3 linked regions of the Caenorhabditis elegans genome follow. The protein of the gene in region 3 purifies or fractionates together with the protein of the main gene of each other region. This does not show direct contact. Each region holds a gene or a part of one and is shown on either strand. Other genes may lie near its edges. The genes, in order: sss-1, F48C1.6 and mafr-1.

The links.
Region 1: the proteins of mafr-1 (region 3) and sss-1 purify together in Caenorhabditis elegans (affinity purification with western blotting, with the first as the bait; one study listed by BioGRID). This does not show direct contact.
Region 2: the proteins of mafr-1 (region 3) and F48C1.6 purify together in Caenorhabditis elegans (affinity purification with western blotting, with the first as the bait; one study listed by BioGRID). This does not show direct contact.

The regions. Positions count from the first base shown.
Region 1 is NC_003282.8:9,892,161-9,895,804, reverse strand, and holds sss-1 (Sperm-Specific family, class S), read left to right. Parts: upstream 1-2,055; 5' UTR 2,056-2,107; coding exon 2,108-2,248; intron 2,249-2,293; coding exon 2,294-2,762; intron 2,763-2,809; coding exon 2,810-3,036; 3' UTR 3,037-3,066; downstream 3,067-3,644. Other genes in the region: ssp-32 (Sperm-specific class P protein 32), read right to left, coding at 289-387; msp-77 (Major sperm protein 77/79), read right to left, coding at 791-1,174.
Region 2 is NC_003279.8:5,317,584-5,321,183, forward strand, and holds F48C1.6 (OCIA domain-containing protein), read right to left. Parts: upstream 1,719-3,600; 5' UTR 1,689-1,718; coding exon 1,533-1,688; intron 1,486-1,532; coding exon 1,355-1,485; intron 1,306-1,354; coding exon 1,224-1,305; intron 1,181-1,223; coding exon 1,067-1,180; intron 1,005-1,066; coding exon 750-1,004; 3' UTR 637-749; downstream 1-636. Other genes in the region: F48C1.5 (DET1- and DDB1-associated protein 1), read right to left, coding at 54-218, 268-402, 453-527; fbxa-145 (F-box domain-containing protein), read left to right, coding at 2,148-2,263, 2,309-2,786, 2,834-2,902, 2,954-3,057, 3,163-3,484.
Region 3 is NC_003279.8:10,621,471-10,624,888, reverse strand, and holds mafr-1 (Repressor of RNA polymerase III transcription MAF1), read right to left. Parts: upstream 1,717-3,418; 5' UTR 1,712-1,716; coding exon 1,629-1,711; intron 1,579-1,628; coding exon 1,239-1,578; intron 1,190-1,238; coding exon 1,068-1,189; intron 1,017-1,067; coding exon 824-1,016; 3' UTR 528-823; downstream 1-527. Other genes in the region: arch-1 (Protein archease-like), read right to left, coding at 242-418.

The sequences.
Region 1 (3,644 bases), on a different chromosome or scaffold from region 3:
CTTCTGTTTCAAAAGAGCAGCATTTTTTTCAAAATGGATTCGCCAAAAAACCTGCATTTCAAAAACATTTATGCACCCTTAAAATAGTGTGAAAAATTGCAGATTTAGGCAGATCATTCTTGTTATTCAAGGCACTTCTTAAAGGGCGCGGCGAGACCACTTTGGAAAAACGCAGTTAATTTACGATATGTCCATCAGAAACCTCAGAAATTAACTGACTCACAATGCACACATTGCCACCGGAATGGAGAATACTGCGCACATCGCTAATTAACAGTTATCGAATACCTTAAACGCCATTCGAGATTCGTTCACTGACGTAATTGTGTGCGTGGAACTTCCTCCTGACGCTGGAAATGTGGCAGATGGAGGTTCGATGGTTAGCATGTTCAGTTGAGAAATGAAAATGATTGAAAATAAAATGAGTTTACTTTGTTTTGAAATTCGAATGTACCCACGTGGTCCAACGTTACAAAGTTGGCAAATTTCAGTGAACTTCTAGACAGTTTTATTAAAAAGCCATTTCGCATGTTAGTAGGAATTGCAACAAAAAATTTCTACAGGAAAGGATGTGGAGTCAATCGAATTTTATCTAGTAGAAATAATAGGATTCGTGAGCCCGGTTTGCTTCGATTAATTTGTGTACATTCTTTGTATACTTTCGAGACTTGGTTATATTTAAGCATGGAATTTAAGCCAGCTGATCAAGAGGAAGAGCTCAAGTGAGGCTACATTTTGTTTCAAAGAAAGAACAAGCATTCATAAAAAACTCTTTTATTTCACAAGGACTCTATGGGTTGTACTCAATTGGGAGGTTCTTACGACGAGCCATACCGTCTCCCTGGAACCATTCACGACGGAATTGCTTGGCAGCACCATCCGGGGTGTTGGTCCACTCAACAGTGATACGGTCGTTGTTGGTATCCTCTTGTCCGAAGGCGAAGGCATCGCAGGAAACAGCAAGAAGCACAGCTTCCTTTGGGTCGAGAACTCCACATGGTGGATCAACTCCAAGTCTCTTCATATTGGTGGTCTTGATACCATATCCAATACGCCGAGCCGATGAGTTGATCACCTTGATGTGGTAGGTGTGCTTGTCATCGTATGGAGCATTGAAGACGATCTTGGTACCCGGTTGAGTTTGGATGTCTCCTGGTGGGACGGATTGGGCCATGGTCGTTCGATGAAGGAGTTATGAGAACTCTATGAAGATTATGGCAAAATCTTCCAAATTTATAGCAGCCTTCTTATCTCTGCCCTAAATCTGGAAGTTCATCCAAAAATAGGAGATCACGTTGAAATTTGAAAAAAAATCAGTTTTAGCTAGTAGCTATTTTGAATAATTTCATCAATTTACACTTGTTCTGATACCTTTGAGTAACAAAGGAAACCTATTCGTTTTCTGTGAGATGCTAATTATTAATCTACTTGTTTTGTTTTTGTTTTTTGTCTAGAGGATAAGGAAATGAAGACTATTTATTAAACTAATTTTGATCTAGTACTACCTCTTCGTTTTCTGTGATATGCTACTTGTATTAAGCTACTTATATTGCTTTTTTCTTTTGCACTTAGGTGCAACAAAAATACTAAAATTGATCTAGTATTGCTTGATCTATTTTGATCTAGACCAGAAACGGTAACTTTCGGCAGTTCGGGTTGGGGCCACCTCCAACTCTATTGTAAGCAGACCAAGCAGGCTCACGATAAGATCAAGTTCTTCAATTTTCAGAAATTCTCGATTAATATTATAATTTTTTTGAACTTTTGGCTCATAAGGCAAACACTATACATACATATACAACGAATTTCAGCAATGAAAGGATACATTTATTTTTGAGAATATTGTCCAAAAAATGTCTTTGTCGCATTTTTTAAACCTTAAACCTTAAATCTTCAGGTGTTGCTATTTCCCAACTTTTGAAACATTATATCAGGTAATAAAATAAAAAGATTTCAATTCTAATTTTACGTGACCGTTTGTTCATTTTCTACGCTTAAACTTAGGCCATCAAGATAAGACTGATTATATACAAGCTTGAAATCATAAATCTACTTATTGCGAATTTCATCGCTCTACTAACCAACTACAATCAACTCTACTAACACTATGGTCAAGAAGATTACTGTCTACACTGCTTTTGGACAATTCCTCGAGATGATCGAGCGTCAAGCCGAACAGAGAAGGGAAACAGTTCCAGTCATTTGTCCGATCGTTGAAAAGGCTCAGCCAAGGACAGCTTTGAACAAGGTTTGTACAACGAGCTGGATTTTAAAACCAAGGGTCATATTTTAGGTTCAATCTTGCCCAGTTGTTCCAACAACTGCAAGAGTTACAGCGGAGATCAAGAAGAGCATTAGCTGCCCATTATTGGCTCTCCAAGCAGATCAACTGATTGAGGTGACCGTCTCCCCAGTCCCAACAACTACAGAATCAAAAAAGATCAATGAGGCTGCGGAGCTTATGGCCAATTTCTGGATGAGCTTTAATTGCCTTGATAACGAGAAAGAACAGATGGAATCGATTTTTGAGAAGATGAATGGATTGTTTGCTGCACCCTCCACAACATCTACGGCATCACTTTTCGGGAAGTACGAGGGATTTTTTGAGAAAACGGAGGTTGCTACGGAAGATATGAACACGTTTTTGTGGAATTCTCCAGCTCATCCATCTTTCCCACAACTTCCAGTTTTCGTCAAATCTCCAATCGACTCGATGAAAATATATGGAGCAGTTAATCATAAATTCGATATTTCTGAAGATGGTAAGTTTTTTTGAAAGTAGTTTTTTTTAAATATTTATTAATTCTAGAATCACTCCCATGCACGGCTCAATCTGTTTCATCTCCAATTTCTCCATCTTCTACCACCTCGGATTCTTCAAGTGAAACAATCATTCTTGGACCTGGACATCTTCTTCAGGAAGTCTACTTGCAGAGAATGGTCATTGAAGAACAGAAGAAGATCATTGATAGCTTTCATGAAATTCAGAAGCTCAACAAGAAACTGGCTGCTCTTCAAAATAACTTTACAGCTTGATCTTCTTGACAAATAAATACTTCCACTGACTTTTTGAATCTTGATCTTTTGGGAAAACACTAGCACATCAGAAATATTTTCCTGGATAGAATTTTACTCTGCCCTATGCTCTCTCTCTAAACCTCTCTCTATAACTCTCTCTCTATAAACCTTTTGCAACCTTGCTTGCAGAATCCTGTGTCTGCCAGGCAACCTACAATATCTGAAAAGCAAGGAAAGCAAAAGTAAAGTGGCCAATAAATTGCCGTCAACAATATGAAAAAGGTGTGGTGTATCCGTTTGGACAGGTTCATTCTAATTAGCTAGTTTCTAGAACCACCCTCTGGAAATATCTGAATTTTCCAGCTGTGATATGGTCGTTCCTCCATGAGACTTAGAATTCGCTCTCAATAAATTATAGATGTGTGTGGTTAGGGACATTATTAACAATATTGATCAGTGTCATGCCATTAACGAGAAGGGATTATCTGGAAAAGGAATCGAAACGGGGGGTTTTTTTAAAGCCAATTTTGGATAATTGATTGTTCTGTTGTGAATTAAACCTCTTCATCTTTTTCTCAATTATTTTATTGTCATGCACAAATTGTTAAAAAAATTTAACCAAACTT
Region 2 (3,600 bases), 5.3 Mb from region 3:
AAAAATACCGGTAAAAATGAGGAATTATGAAGAAAAAAAAAGAGAAAAACTAATTATATGTCCTGTTGATTTCGTTGCTTCTTCCGTGAGGATGATTGTTGTGATGATGTTGATGGCTGATTGGCATCCTCGAGTTGATCATCGGATTCGGACGTTGAATGTTCTCGCTTCACACCTCCAGCTTCGCCTGCTCGACGTTTTTTCGTAGTTTCTTTTGGCTGAAAATTCGATGAAATTAAAAATTTTTATAATAAACTTAATAATTACCTTCGGAATATAATTCTTCTCTAAATGATTGATAATGAATGGAGTTTTTGGTGCCTTTATTTTGTAGCATTCTCCATTATTCTCGCCTTCAACATTCCGACAGACCACTTCGACAGGTTCAGTTTTCCGTACTGTCTGAAATTTATTATTTAAATATATCCAGAAACTAACTAAACCTGACTTACATCTTTTTTTGCGGACAACTTCGTAAAACTCTCAGGATTCTTGCACGGTAAAGGTCCAATCGTGAATTTTGACATTTTCAGATCAAAATCTGAAAATAAATATTTTGGAAATTAAAAAAATCTTCAATATATTCTCAAAAGGTATATTTTTGGAATTAACCAAAAAATTTCTAATAAAAAAATGTTTAAAAAAAATCAAAATAATTTATGATACAAAACAAGAAAAATGTAACCGGCGATGTGTGTACTTCACTAAATAAAATCTATGTAAGCAATTCCATTGAAAATGAATTAAATCTACGAAAAAGTGTATCCTTGTCCCTGATTGCTGTCTGACGACGGTCCAGAAGGTGTTCCAGACATGAATCCTGAATCTTCAACACCGTATGGCGAAGGAATTGGTGGAGATGGGCGGCGAGCTCGTGGAGATTGTTGGAATTCTGATGTCTCTCCTATTTCTGTCTTGTATGAAGAGAATGAACCGTCGTAGGAAGAATTATCGCCAGAAGAAGGAACACTGTACGTGTAATCATATGAATTTGGTTTCGGATTCTGAAAATTTTACGTTTGATTATTAGAATTTCTTTTTTTCAGCTTTCAGTAATATGTTTTACCTCAACTCTCTGAGCTGCTGCTTCGCCATCAATTCGCACTAAAGGAACTACGCCGGCTCCTCTATTTTGGCGGCGAATATCTTCGTAGTTTGTCGATGACTTGGCGAGGTCGTACTGAAATTGGCCATTGATCAGATATATTAACAATTGAATTTACTTTTTTCCATAGTTGATCAATTCTTGGCTTGATACGATCTCGGCATGTGCCCATGAACATCAAATTTGAAGCAGTGAGAGAACTGAAAAATCAATAAATTATTTCAGCAACAAAATGTTTAAAAAACATACGCAATCCCCATTATAGCATAAAATGGCCATCCTTTGGGACCAAAATGATATTGAGCGGGAAGGCGAGTACGAGCTAAATACAAACTGCCGAGAATTGCTCCAGTTATCGGCAATCCACGTGTCATTGTAACCTAGAAAAAGAAAAAGAATTAAAATACATGAAACTGAGATGAAATACCTCCGTGGTGCAAGTTCTCATCATTTCGGTCAATTCCTTTTGTTCGTCACTGGAGAGTTTGTTGAGCAAAGCATGAATCTGTTCGTTGTTGAGCTCAACCTTTTGAGAAGAATCTCCTGTCGGTTGAGAATACATAAAACCGTCGGATGAAGACATTTCTGCAATCAAAAGTAATAAAATTGGTTTGAGAAAACAAAACAGAAACATTAAAAAGAGTGAAAGTTCGCTCTATCGCGGAAACATTTGTTAGAGGGTGTTTTAAAAGCAGTTCTGTGACAAATTTCGTAATAATATAACAAGTGAATAAGTCAATACAGCATTAAAACAAATAAATAAAAGCAACACTTTAATTTTAATTGAAAAAAAGTAAAATCGAAACAAAAAATTTCGAGAAAAAACAAATTGACAAATTCTGCAAACATCGTCACGTAACAAATGCAGACGAGTTGCTGCGTCTCTCTTATCCCCACAGTCTCTCTCCTTCAGACCAAATTGGCTACCGTACCCACCAAATATTTTAATCGAAAGTTTGTTCGAAAATTGAAATTGAAGTATTTTATTTTTAATTCGATCGTTAAAGAAAATTGTTAAAAAATAGTTTTCCAGAAATATATAATGGGAAACTGTTCTGGCACTGCAAAAGTCGAGCTGCTTGAGTCCTTCGAGAACTGGAACAAGCTTCCACCTGAGATAAAGCTGGAATGCATGAAACATCTAGATTTTAAGACAAGGTAATTGACATGATTGAAAAAATAATAATTAAAAATACATTTCAGATTCATAATGCGTAGTGTTTCACGCACCGAGAGGATCCTCGTCGATTCACACAATTTCAAACTCGACTCGGTTCGAATCGAAGGTCTTTTGCCGTATCCTATGAATACAATTATTCAATCAAGTTTCGACACTCAAAAAATCACGATTAAATCTGGAAATCATGAACAATGTGTGGTCCATATGAGAAACCGTCTTCGATTTAATGAAACAATCGTCCCACTGCTTGTCTTCATTCTCAAAAATGCAACTATCAATGATTTTTCGATTGAAACAATTTTGAATATTGATTGGAGCAAAGTTCTACAAGATGCTCTCAATTCGAAGTCATTGAGCATCAGAAGCTTCAGTGGAGTATTGCTGAAATTTCAAGAAGCATTTTTCTTTGTCAATAAGCTCAATTACACTTCAAAGTCGATTTATCTTGACGGACATGGATGTAAAAATTTCCCAATAGATCAACTGATAAGTATAGAATCGGTATGCTCACTCGAACAAAAACTCAATTATACCATCCTAGATTTCAGGTTTCCAACGCATCATTGTTGCAAATTCGCGATGTTCAGAGTAAAGATATTATCTGGAAAATTGCAAATGTACATATTTCGAAATTCCATAAATGTGTTTAAAAATGTGTTGAATTTTAGAAATGGATCGAGACAGATGCTGCAATTGGAACGAGATTTCAGCTAACTTCAATGAGCAAGGAAATTATTACCCAATTCTCATCTCATTTCAAGAACAGAATCATGTAAGAATTAAAATGATAAATAATATCAAACAGCACAAAAAAATATTTTAGGGCAATTAAAGCAAAATTCCATAAAAATGTGAATAATACAACATTTATTTCCAGTTCCGCGTCTGACGTCGAGATTCTCATCAGGACTGATAACCCGATGAAGCATATTCTTCTCAAATTGGCAAGAACTTGGAGAGTTGCAAGACCATTTACTTGTATTGTAATTTCCGCTGAAACCGAACAATCCGAATTCGTCAACTTTGGAATGTGGGTCTCTAAAAAAGTGATACCACTTTGGGAATACATCTCTTTGTTCCTGGCTGATGAATTCAACGACGACGATGGTCTGAATTTGTCGAGTTTCCTTATTCTGCTCTTACACTGCATCTGGCTCATTTTCAGCATGCTGTTCAAGCGTACTTTCTACGGTCAATAACTCATATTTCTCTCAATTTGTTTTGTTATTTTGTTGAATTTTCTTATTGTTGAAAATAAAAAAAATAAAAAAAATCTACAAAAAGTGCAAATATTTTCAATGTTTGTCTTCGTCTC
Region 3 (3,418 bases):
TTGTGGGTTTTGTTCGAAAATGAAGTCAAGAAGGCAAAAATTGAGCTTTTTTCTGGGAGCAGCTTCAAAACTAGAGAATACACGAACAAAAGCTAAAATTTCTACAAGATATCGATTTAAATTGCAATTTCATATGTTCATAAGCATATTTCAAGTGAAGTAAGAAAAATTAGACAAAACAGAGGAAAGTGGAAAAATTCTTAAAAGGCGCAAGAGGCGATCTAATTCAATTTCAAATTACCTCATCAACCTTGGCCAAATCCGTCATATAGCCGAACATTGATACGAGGCATGCTTCGAAGGCTTCTTCCATTGTGGATCCCCAAGAGTGAAGTTGAATATCTGCCGGATGATCGAGATATTCGAATCGCCGACGTTCGATCTCAGAACGATCTTCGATCATTGATGTGCTCGGCATTATTTCACTGAAAATAAATTAAACTGAACTTAACCAAATAAATTTGAGGAAAAATTGATTAAAATATCAGAACGGTTGAAACCAAAAAATAATCGATTTTGATTAACTTAAAAAAAACAATTTTATGTATTTATGATGCGGTTTTTGTGAAAATTGATATCTACGAGCCACGAAAAGGAATGAGAATCGAAGTATTTGTTCCTTTAATCTAGCGGTAGGTGTGTGGGAAGTGGCAAATTAAATGCGAACTCGAGAGGTGAAGGAGGAGGTTGAGGATTGATGAGAAATGGAATCTATTTACAAGAGAAGAACTACAAGAGGGAAAGAGGCTTGGCCGGCAAGACTAATACTATATCGCCTTGAATATTAGTCTATTCTAAGCGTTCTACATGAATAATCTGCACTCTATTTCTCTTGTGGTTCCGCCTCGTCTTCACTGAAATCGGGGAAAATTTCGATGGACGTGTCGGCTTGTTTCGATAGGCAACGAATTGTGAGAAGAACAAAACGTTTGAGTCCTTTGTTGTAGAAAATGAAGGCAAGTGCCCAAATGCAACCGTCTTCGGTAAACGGATCGTCTTCGAATTGGGACTTGAAGCTGAAAAATATGGAAATTATATAAAATATCCTCTCAAATCAAACGGAATACCTGTATATTTGACAGTCACCGGGCACAATTGCCTCATCAATAATTCCCCATAGCTCTTCTCTTCTCACGTGATAGTCTCTGACAATTGTCTCAAGCTTCATATCAACGAGACGGCTCAGGTCCTGAAAAATCATGCGCGTTAATGTTATTTAGCTGTAAGAAGCTACTAACCGAATAATTGACGAGAGCAAACGCTTCACTGTTGGCATTACTGAAATCGTGATCCGGAAACGAACAGTTCAGAACTTGAGTCAGATCATACAATTTCTTTCGCGAAATTGAGTCTTTTATCAGGTAGTCATTCACGTCGAAATCGTTGTCTGATCCTCCTGAGCACGAGCGTTCCGATAAATGGCGAAGCCGATGATTGTGACCAACACTGGGCGATGCACTCATCACCATTTCCTCGTAAGATCCTAGAGGCTGGCGTTCACCCCATATCACAGATTTATCGTTCGATTTCCATTGTTTCTTTTCGCTAGTAACCATTTTCGACGAATACGTTTCTAATCTGAAATTGAACGATTTGTTTTATTCTTAATATTGAGATAAATGACTCACTTGAAATCAATAACACAATCGATTGCTCCCGTAACGAGTGTCTGCGAAAAAACATCCATTTCGGAGCTTTCCAGAAACTTCATGGCTTCTAAAGCTTTTCAATAAATTTCGAGAACATTTGGAGAATTCAAGTGCGGAAAAATCCTACGTAATGAAGATTGCAATATTTAAAATCGCGCATTTTGAAAACAATAATTTAATTTTTAAATTTTACACTAAAATAACAATTTTAATTACTTTTTCAGAACGATTTATCGTGAAGAAAGGAAAAACTGCTGTAAAAAAATCCCATTGATTTAGCAAACTGTCGGCAACTTCTGTGTAATGTGTGCAATATTGTTGTTGGTGTTTGCGTACTTGTCTACCGTATACCTTGGGGGTAAAATGAAATTTGTTAAATTTCGCTTCGAAAGTCGTTTTGCAATTAAAAACTATAGTCAAAACTAGATTTTCAAATAATTGATGTCACAGGGGTCTAGAGAACGAAATAACACGACCATTTATGACAGAATCAGGAATATTTAGATTAAAAAATTAACAAGTTTCAAATCAAATTTTCAAAAGGCAATGAGATTCACAAGTTTTATATTCAATACAAGAATTTAGTGGAATTAATTAGTCCATTTTGGTTCATAAGGTGTTACTGAAATTGATGATATTTGCTATAACTTAATGGGAAACATGAGAAAAAACCTGTTTGAAAATTAGTTTTGCACCCTCTATTAGTTTTGCATCAAATTAGGTGTCCGAAAATTAGTTTTGCACGTCTTACTAATAGAGGATATACGGTATACGGAAAACAATTTAAAAAAATATTTTTATTTGAACGACCACGTACATCTTGATAAGGACTGGTATATGAGCAAGTAGTTTTAGTCATAGTGTTCAGTCTTCAACTTTTCAACAAATGGTCTGCCAAGAAGGATGGGAAGATGATGCCAATTCAACAATTCCGATGCTGTGAACGAAGATATGAGTATGCAAGGAACCTCCGAGTGGACCTCGGACGATGGAGCCGATTTACCTACAGTCGTGTGTGAATTGGAAACCAGTTCACTTCAACCAAACGGAATATTAAAGTGAGTGCGGGTCAGAGGTGTAAATCTGATGTTTTAAAATGTTATAAAACATAAAGTTTACAGCTTTTTGAGTATTGAGAGTATGAACCTTTTTTTTCAGATACTCATACTGGCATATGTCACAAAAACCCCCCGGACAAACTACTCAAGACGAAACGTTCAAAGGATAAATAGAGGAGACAGAGGAAAAAGAAGACAACTCCAAAGTGGGAGCTATTTTGTAAGTTTGTTGTTAAACTCATAAGCTTGTAGATGGCTTGCCTCAATACATTTACAAATAATGTCATATTGGTGTTTATTTCAGGAAGTACAACTGAATCGATTGGAAATTAACGTCAGGATGTGGATTGGAACAAGTAGCTGGAAGTGACTGGAAACCCTACTGTGTCGACGGCGGAGGAGACATGGTGCATGGATGGACAACTGAAACAATTTGACAGCCAGGCTACGTGAAGCTCAATGCTCCGCTCTGATCGACAGTATCTGCCTCCTACCTGCGTTGTTTAAGTAAAGCTGCAGAGATTGAATTAAAGTAATCCATCTGAAAAGAGCATCTCTATTTCTCAATCATTTCGTGTTTTTGAATTTGAAACTGTGCTGTTAGATTTTGAGAGCTTGAAATGGACGTAGTATTGTTTCATGTAGAGAGAAAAGAATTTCGAAAATTGATACAGTGAGCGACGTTCAAAATCGTGGGACACATTTTTTTTC